2 linked regions of the Drosophila melanogaster genome follow. The protein of the gene in region 2 interacts with the protein of the main gene of each other region in a pairwise test. Each region holds a gene or a part of one and is shown on either strand. Other genes may lie near its edges.

What was found. The genes of interacting proteins can lie anywhere in the genome.
Region 1: the proteins of Prosap (region 2) and homer interact in a two-hybrid assay, tested with the Drosophila melanogaster proteins (one study listed by BioGRID).

Annotation. Positions count from the first base shown.
Region 1 is NT_033779.5:6,719,356-6,724,653, reverse strand, and holds homer (homer), read left to right. Parts: upstream 1-1,723; 5' UTR 1,724-1,843; coding exon 1,844-1,857; intron 1,858-2,214; coding exon of another isoform or gene 2,215-2,223; coding exon 2,224-2,512; intron 2,513-2,567; coding exon 2,568-3,004; intron 3,005-3,057; coding exon 3,058-3,136; intron 3,137-3,199; coding exon 3,200-3,466; intron 3,467-3,522; coding exon 3,523-3,630; coding exon of another isoform or gene 3,631-3,657; intron 3,658-3,711; coding exon of another isoform or gene 3,712-4,095; 3' UTR 4,096-4,758; downstream 4,759-5,298.
Region 2 is NT_033778.4:14,137,874-14,142,781, reverse strand, and holds the start of Prosap (prosap), read left to right. Parts: upstream 1-1,879; 5' UTR 1,880-2,993; intron 2,994-4,908.

The DNA of each region.
Region 1 (5,298 bases), on a different chromosome or scaffold from region 2:
CTGTGATTCCGCATATGGGAGATACTTAATGCTGTAGCTTCTTCTGCATAAAATCAAATTCTTTATGTTAATTGAATTTATAAAGTAAATTCAATTAATTCATACAAAATGTCCATTCTATGGAGTCCGGATATTTTACTACACACACACACGTTCGCTAGCCATTCCAATTGAAATACCCAGCATAGTGGGAGAAACATGTCTAATGAGACTTATCATAGGCGCCGCATTGATAACAAGTTTTCTACACCAACACATACGCACACTGTCGCAGGCGGGGGCACACGCACGGCATACACACTCACACGCGCACGCACACAGGCACAGTACTTTTTCTCTTTCGCATAACTGGCATATTTTGTGTGCCTAGGTGTGTCGCTGTCGCATTTTGCAATCACATATACCCGAAACAGGGTTAAACGAGCAGCAGGTGCGAGCTTACGCCGCTTTTAAATGCGTTCCAATGAGTTTTTCACCTGAAATTTCGGTTTAGTGGGACGGCGTTCGTGTGAAAAAAAAGAGGCTGCGAGAAAATCGCCTCGTACTCCTCGTTACGCCGGAACACGTACCCCGATCGATCGCACGGCGGCTGGGCAGCAGCAGCAACAACAACTCTGGCCGCTTTTTGCCCTTCGCATAGGTGTCCCGGCTGCTTTTAATTAAATAAACCGAATTCCAAATGGATTTTTTAACGATGAGAAACTGGTCAGTGTTACCAGATGGCAAAACGGCTAAAATCCGTAAACCAACCCTGGTTCTTCACTACAAAATGTACTACATTTCATGAATTTTTTCAGTGGTTCTATTTCGTCCAAAAAATATAGAAGTAAAATGTGTTGTTTTAAAGTTTTTGTGGCAGTCTATTTATGTTCAAAGCTAAATTATATGCAAATATTATTGCCGATCAGGAGTTGCCATTTGACCTATCGTCAAGTATTAGAAAAATGTGTACTAAAACTAATGCTGCCACACCGCACAAAGAAAACCATATCTAACAAATATTCAAACTACATGTAGGCGCACAACTAGACAGTCAAAAAAACTTATCACTTTTATCTGAAATTATTTTGTAACTTCCGTCATTTAAATGCAATGCTTCAACAGCTACACATGTTTTTGAAAAAATTACATTGTTATGGTGCCTTACAGACAAACATATTTAGTATTTATTTATCTTAATTAATTTGCAATTCGCTTTACAGCGATTAAATTATTCGATAAGAATCATTGCTCTTATACGAGCTCATGTGTTATCGATGCTTGGAAGCTAATAAATAAATCATCGATGGTGTTGAGCCAGTAAAAACATCGATAGCACCATACAAACATCGATTTTGGTTCCAGCTCTAGACATTTGTGTTTTATTTTTTTTAACCGTGAAATTCATAAGTAAAACCGACTAGCATTGGTATAAACTGCTGCGGAAGCACTCAGTCAGCGCCAAAGAACGAATACAATGGGGTAAGACCGATGGGCGCGGCCAAACCGGCCTAAACCTGCCGTTTTTACTGTGGGAAAAATCGACGCCGAACTAGCTGACATCTCCCCCCTATGATGTTGTTGTTGTTGCTGCCGTTCTGTGTGTAGCGGGCGGCGTAAATACATACATATATATGTACACAAACATACACCTACACACGCACACGCGTGGGCAGGCCAATTACATGTGTGTGGGTGTGCAGGTGTGTGTGACTGTGCAGGTGTGTGCGTGCGTGTTTTCCGCCCGAGAATCAAAAATCACAAGCAAGGCTGCGGAAAAGGCTTAGCACATAATGCAATTTAGTCGGCGGTCGACAGTCGCCAGCGATAACGGGAAGACACAAGTTATAGAGCTCAGCGAACGATGTCGGCGGATAGGTAATAGATAAGATATATATATGTATATGTGTACAAATAAAGGCACTGGAGGCTACCACGGATACGGAATTGATTTGATGGGGGCCCTGCGCCCCGCAACAAACTGTCATTGCATCAGGCCAGATCGCAAAAAACAAACATATATCGACCTACTTTATCAAATAAGGACCACGAGGATTATCCTGGGACTTAAGGACTACTAATTATAAATGCATTACACAGTGCCTGTTGACTAATAAACCACAGTAAAAGAATGCTTTGCCATAGTTTACTCACACGAGCACAGAAGCACAATTTATTGCCTGCTCTAAATGGAATTTTTAATTAATCACACGCTTGTCGCTTTAATCCCTTTATGACCCTTAGCGAACAACCGATTTTCACCTGCCAGGCGCACGTCTTCCACATCGATCCGAAGACGAAGCGCACCTGGATCACGGCCAGCATGAAGGCGGTCAACGTTAGCTTCTTCTACGACAGCTCGCGAAATCTGTACCGCATCATCAGTGTCGAGGGCACCAAGGCGGTGATAAACTCGACGATCACACCCAACATGACCTTCACCCAGACCTCCCAGAAGTTCGGCCAGTGGAGCGATGTGCGGGCAAACACGGTGTACGGCTTGGGATTTGCCTCAGAGGCGGAATTGACCAAGGTGAGTGGTTAGCATATGTCTCACATATTTATATACTAATCATATCGCTCAACAGTTCGTAGAGAAGTTCCAGGAGGTCAAGGAGGCCACCAAGAATGCCATGAAATCGGCCAACGGATCGAATGCCGTCACGCCCACCACCTCGGCGAACACGTCGCCCATTTCCGGGAGAGCTGTGGGCTCCATGCAGAACGACAACACAGCCATCGATCCGCACACTGTGGAGCCGCCCAACATGAGCAACACGAATACCCAGAACGCCAATCCGGACAGTCCTTCCCACAAGCTTCTAAATACCAGCGATGTCAAGGCGGACATCGGATCGGCCACGCCCTCGCCGCAGCCCACTTCAGGGGTAACTGGTGGCGGTGGAGTGACCATCTCGTCTGGCGGAAGCATTGTGGGCATGCACACGGGTCCTGGAGCCGGCGCCACCGCCGAGCAGCAGCTTAAGTACGAGAACGAGCGTCTGAAAATGGCACTGGCACAAAGGTAAGCAAAGCGTTGACCGTCATTGGCTCAAGGCAATAATGCCTTCTTTTCAGCTGCGCCAATGCCAAGAAATGGGAAATCGAGCTGGCTACCTTGAAGAACAACAATATACGGCTGACTAGTGCTCTTCAGGTAAGCAATAAGATAAGCTCACATTTATTGAAACTGATCGTTTTTGGCCTTTTTCTCCCAAAGGAATCAACTGCCAATGTAGACGAATGGAAGCGCCAGCTGCACACTTACAAGGAGGAGAATATTCGCCTCAAACGAGATATGGAGCAGCTGTGCGTGGGCGGCGGGGTTGTGGCTGCAGCCGGAGGAGGCGCCACAGAGGACGAACTGCGTCGTGAGGTGGCCACGCTCAAGGCGCGGACAGAACAACTACAGAAGGAACTTATGCAACAGGAACTTGAGCTTAAGTCGGCCAATATTAGCCTACGTGAAAAGTCCAATGACCAAACGGTGGGTAAAGCATAATAATCATGTTGAGTAATTTGCTAATGAAACTTTGTTTTTAGCTTGCAAAGTTGAGTGAGGTGAATGGTGTGTTTGCCAAGCATCTTTCGGAGTTGTATGGGGTGCAGAAGGATATGGAGAGTCTTATACAAATTGCCAAGTGCACTTGAGACACAGAGTTGGCGTTTATGCGAAAGGTTTGCGGCACATTGCCTTTTGAGTTTCGTCTTGTTGATTGGCGTTCTTTACAGGTTTCAGTGCAGGAACAGACTACAATGATTAATACTACAACGACATCATCGACAACAACAGGAAGCACGACAAGTAAACGTTATTTAAGCAACTTTCCAACCGCAGAGGCCGAGAGCACGCTCTCCAACGTCACCTCGATACACACTCAGCTGCAGTCGTCGCTTTACGAGACTCAGAACATGCCGCAGCTGAAGGCCTTGGACAAGCATTCGGCTTTGCTCCAAGAGCTTCATCAGCGGCAGGCGGCACCCAGGCGCAACTCAGCCTCTGCGGAAGCTGCTGCAGCCGGCTCTGGTGGAGCCAAAACAGCCACCATACTCGTTTCCAAATCAAAAACCAAAACTGGGCTGCCCCTGTTGCTGAAGAATTCCATTAACAATTAGAGAAATCCCAAAAAGAAAAACAAATATCGCAGGTAGAGAGAATTTATTCAGTGGCATTTTTGTAATCTTTATATTGGTAGTTTGTATACAAGGACAACGTTAAGAGTCAGCCATGGTACTTCCCCAATCCCCACGCACCCCCTCTTTTTGTTAACATTATTGGATATTTGTGTTTCCTTATCTCAAATTGAATGTATACCTATGCCCAGTATTTCGTCAAAATTCTTCGAGTCCTTGTGACACTGATGTAGGTCCAGATTGATTGATTCTCGTGCGCAGTAAAGTGCAATATACATTTATCTCTAGTATGTAAATGTAAACGATGATATTATGTGCTCTATACACTTTCAGCTGATTGTTAATTAATTTTTAATAAGAGCTTGCGATCGAATATAACCCGAAACTCATTTCCCAAAGAGAAAACCCAAGCATTTCTATTGAACAAAAGTCACAAAGATTATTTTATAAATGTGTCGAACTTTTTATAGTATTTTTAGATGGAACCTTTTGTATTCTCTAAATCATAGGCGTAAAATTTAAAAACTTATTTATTGAATTGTATTTCGACTCCATTCTATGTCAAATCCGCATCATCACAATGCTCCCGTTTATTGCAGTTATGCACTGATTTACTAACATTATACATGATATTTATAAATATATAAATTAACGTATGCATAACTAACAATGACTTAGACGACGAACACACTAAGAAACCAATATTAAATATAAAACTAAAGTAAACGAAGTGAACATTTTATAAATGGATTGAAGTAATCCAAGTAATTCACGAGACTAGCAAAGTAAATGAATAAAAGTCAAGTATGTGCGTCTGCGGACAACTAGTATAATACATAAAAAAATTATTAAAATTAATTTATATTTATCGAACCGAATTAAAAACGCAACTCGAATGAAGACAGCAATAAATACATAACAGTACACAATCTCCGAAACACGATTACCCGCTAAACGAATCGGTTATGAAGCGGTAATTTCGAACGTTTGCGATTATATTCAAGCCATATTGTTATGCACTTGCTGCATAAATAACCCAGTTGAGAAGAAATAAGAATTAACGAAAATGAAATGTTGAACATACAAATTTAGCAGTTAAAAATAAATAACAAATGAAAATATAAATAAATAAATAAATATATAAAGTAAAGAACAATTTAAAATCGGTTTTCTTTTAATTTGATT
Region 2 (4,908 bases):
GTGCATACTGCATGTTGCACCAGAAGCACACGTTGCATCGGAATAGATGGCTCATAAATCCCAACTGACTGGAAACATCTAATAACTATGTCAGCATGTGGCTCTCAAACTGTAAAGCTGGCACGCACCTAAAAATGAAAATGGAAAACTGGGCGGGTTTTAACAAATTGTGGATCCATAAAGAACTCATTGAATTTGACAGGATTTCCTAAATCAATTCTTTATTTTATTTTAATTTCGTGTAAAATCACCCGTATAAAAATGCAAGAAAATTGGTAAAAAAGTGGAATTTATCGCGTAATGCAAGAGCACGTTGATATTACAGGAAAAACTCGGTAGCATCAGTGAAATTGCATTTTTCGACTGCCTAATTTTCCATGCGAAACCTCCTGCTTCTCTTCATAATAGGAGAACTGGCACTAAAACTGACCTCTGGGGTCGTCATCATTTTTGGCTCACGTTTATGATTGAAAATGTTCGTTTTTCGCAAAGCGGAGGAGTTTTGCATAAATCAAGTCAATTGGGTATATCGAGGAAAGCCAAATGAGTGATGGTTTTGAGTTTAAAACGGGGTGAAATTACATAAACTTCATATGTGAGATTATTTCTGGAAAGGATTTCAAATATTACAAAAAAATTTGGGTAAAGTCGAGATATTATCTTATTTGTAGACTTAGACAAATGTAATACGAAACAATGTGTTTAGGTTCGAAAACAACGAATTGATGTAATGATTTATGTAAAAAAACTGTACATTTAGGTACAATTTAGGAATTTATCTTATGATTTATGTAAAAAAATTGTACATTTAGGTACAAGTTTATTTGATGTATCTTAAAATGGTCATAACTTGCATTTTTTAAGTAGCCAATTAGCAAGTTTCAAATCGTTGTGGACCAATAAAAGTGGGCAAAAAAACACTTGGACTTTCAGGTTTTTTGCAATAAAAACAAAACCACAACTTAAGGCGCCTTTGGAAATAAGCCTTGGATAACAAAAACAGCAAACGAGGAAATTGGGAACAATGGACCGGCAAAGAAAAGCTGTCGCTCCCCGAAGCAACAACAACAACAGCAACAGAGGCTATGGATTAGCCACACGTGGCCCCCCACACTACCTCCCAACCACCCACTTTGGGTCAGGAAAATGAAAAACGATTCGAGCGCCAGAAGAGCCAAAAGAAATCGGCGAAAAAACCTTAAGAAATGCTGGAAAAATACCCAAGTGACCCAGAACTTGTGCAAGAAAATAGTCAAGGTGCTCGAGGGGAAATTGAAGGGGGAGGAGTTCTGCGGAGGCGTTTGATTTTCCTACGCTTTTGATGTTTTCCAACTAATGACGAAAGCAGCCAGCAAAAAACTCGAATGTTCGCCGAAAATGTTAGCCTGCTGTTAAGAGAAGCAAATAGCCCCAACATCCGGCGCAATAAATTTCGAAGAGCGGTTAACGGTCGACTTCGAACTACATGTTAGCATTTCGTGTTGGAGTCTGCGCTATGTTCTGATTAGAATGTCTAATTTGGAATGTCAATGAACATTTTAATTAAATGTTAAAGTTTTAAATATCGTGTTTTATTTCAGTACTGATGCAGCTATTGATATCAAGAGGCATAGCGCAGAATAAAAAACTAAAGTAAAATAATAAACATTGATTGCATTTGCAATTTTTAAATTCGTAGAACATTTTTCTAGCCAGGGCGCAATCCGTCATACAGAACTCCAATCAGAACTAAGTGCTGCCTCAAACCTCACGGCACAACCGGTTAACAGAAGCCGCTCTTTTATCGAATTCGAACTCGCTCTCTCCAACTAGAGCTGTAAGCCCAACGTTATCGGCCTGTAATCGAACATTTGCCATCTCTAGTGCGCTCTCCAACGATTTTTGTTATTGCTTTTTCAACCGCGATTCGTGCAGCATGTGTGTTCGCGTGATCTGTTAAAAAAATAATGCTTAAAGCACATCGGTAACCGTTAAAGTCGCCGGGGAAAAAACCAATATTGATACTAACGAATTTTCGAATAATTTTCACAAAACGATTTTGTGCGCGATTTTTTCGTCCAGGCTCAAGAGGAGTGCGAGCGAGAAGGAGCGAGACAGTCGACGGTGGCTGCGTGCAAAATAACGGTGCACCGAATTCGACCAAATAAAAATTGAAAATAATCGCCGTGATTATTAGAATTTTAAACTGCCAACTGCAGCTAACGAATCAACCGATACGAGAAACCGATCGATGTGAAGTGCAAAAACAAGTAGAAAAATACAAATAATAAAAACAAAAACCGGTTCGCCTCTGCAGCAGCAGAAATCAAAGCCAAAAACGAAAAGAAACAAAAATCAAAGACAGCGAAAGAATTTTTGTTGTTTGGCCGGTGCGTATGTGTTTGTGTGTGTGCGTGCGCGTCTGTGTGTGGGAGTCTGCCAGTGTGTGTGAGCCTCTCGGCAAAGGAGAAAAACGCACAAGTCGGTAGGAAAAAGGCGTACGTAAGGAAAACGAAAAAGAGAGGAAAAAACGCAGTAGGAATTTCTTGTTTCCCCAAAACCGAAAAAAAAAAATCCACGTAAACCCGTTTCCCTGCAAACACACAAAATATAAAAGGTGAAAAAGTACAAAAAAGAGTAATATCTGTGAAATAAACGGAGGCCGCAAAAAGTGGCACAAGTGAAAATTCCTGCGCCGTTCGTTTTATTATTATTTTTCTGTTGCCGTCTTTTTGACAATCGCCAAAAGTGAAAATCAATTTGCGAGAGCGCGCGCGCAAGGAGCGAAAAGGAAGAGAGAGAGAGAGAGTGTGAGAAGGAGAGCGAGGAAGAGCAATCCCGATATAGAACTCGTCCTTTTTCGGCCCCAAAATTACCCAACCCAAAAAAAAGAGAAAGAAAACTGAACGAAAAACTCCCGGAGAAAACAACAACACACAACGATAAACTGCAAAAGTAAACAAATTGCGCCGAAACTAAACGAATTTCGGAAAACTGCAGCCAACGGAAAAAAGGTCAGTACACAGCGATTGATTGGCCGGAAAATTAACTAAATTAAAGTAAAAACCCTCGAGTGCCAAAGTGGTGTTGAGCAGCAAACACCTTTTAATAGTCCCCCATTTGACCTTCACCCATGGACACCCTCGCAAATTGGTAGCACCAAAGTCGGGCTAGCAGTTAACCCTTACCCTTGATCACCGTTAATTGGACCCCCCTCCTCAGACTATCATGGTCATGGTCAGCAGGTTGTGAAAACGGTCATTTATTGAGGTGCGTTACCCTTGCATTATATAAGGCACGAAACTCTTCAATGAAAATCTAATTTCAAAAGGATTTTAACCACTGTAAGAAAAAAAGTTAAAAATGTATTAAAATATCGTATAGAAATGTAAAGGTATTTGTGCTTTAGATAAATGTAACAATAAAAAGGTGACATCACTATCTGTAACTATTATATTGAATTATTGCATTTGTCACTGCAACTGATGATTTCAAGAAAATCGTTAAGACCTACGACAGTTATTATGAAGCAGCTTTTCTGCAACTTAAATGACTGTTACTTCTGTTCTATGGCAGTTACCGCCTTCTTCGAGTTGCACACACTCATTCGAAATAAATTCGGACTGGCAGCACGTTTACCATTTGGCTGACTCTTTCTTTAATCGCACCTTTTTATGGGCCCACCGTTATATTGACCTTCACTCGAGGGGTTCTGCTCTTGAAGAGGCATTCATAAATTTCGTTTTCTGTGCGAGTGATTTGGAAATTGCACGCTTCCCTTTTTTTTTGTTTTGGAGGGGCTGGCTGCTTCCCCCTTTTTGTCCCACCAATTGCAGTTATCTTGGTTGTTTTTGTTCAACTTTACTCATTTGTTCATAACGTGACTGGTTCTTGTTGTGGCCTATTGCTTTTTGGTTGTATTTGTTGCTGCTGCAGCTATTGTTGTTGTTGTTACACAAGCGTAACAATAAAATTTCAGACTGGCCCGCCATGAAAATAGTTAAAATTTTATATGTGCTGTTATGATCATGTTTTATCTGATAGTTGTTCGCTTGTGGCACGTAACACGGTTTGTTTTAAACTTTTTCGTTGATTTGCAGGCGGCATGAAAGGGGCAAAGATATATGTACATATATGTTTATATATATGTTTATATGTACCTACATATATCACGTAGATCAGCGAGGGGAGAACTATCTGAGATCCAAGAGTTGGGTCAGCGGCTGCTTTTTGTCTCGGTTACTTAATGTGGATGCGGCTTAATTGTTCCAAAAGATCAGATATCTTGTGCTGCGCCTACAGTTGTGTTGAGATATAATCGTTACCCAGAAAATAAACATAAATATAAAGGTTTTCAGAAGAGCTTTAAAAATCATATACAAATCAGAAGAATATACAGTGCATTTAATATAATTTATTTGTAGAGCATTCCCATATAATTTTTTCTTGGAAAACGTATAAATTTACATTGAAATATTTATACTACTAGTTAATGCCAAAATAATATAAATATTAATGCTCCAAAATTTGCTCATGCTCATTTATCAGTCAGAATAATTTCAAAATGTAAATATTCTGAATGTTTTAGTGTCACGTTGAATTTAAGACGTGATCTCATGCTTCCCTACTCGAACCGAATACTTGCAGCTCTCACTGTTAACTGTTTGCGTGATCTTACTTAATTTCCTTACTTTGTGTTATATTCATTAAAAGATTTGACAATTTGCAGTGATAAATCAAAAGAAATCTGAACTCCTCGTGGCCTGCAAAGAGTGACATTTTTGCTCAACATTTTGACCAACATTTCGCCCAATTTGCATAAATTTCAAGCATTTGATTCATACGAAACGCTCCAAGTCGAGAAATTCGACTTTTATGGGCAAACTCCAAAAGGCCCAGGCAATTTCTGATTTATTTAATGAGCAAAAA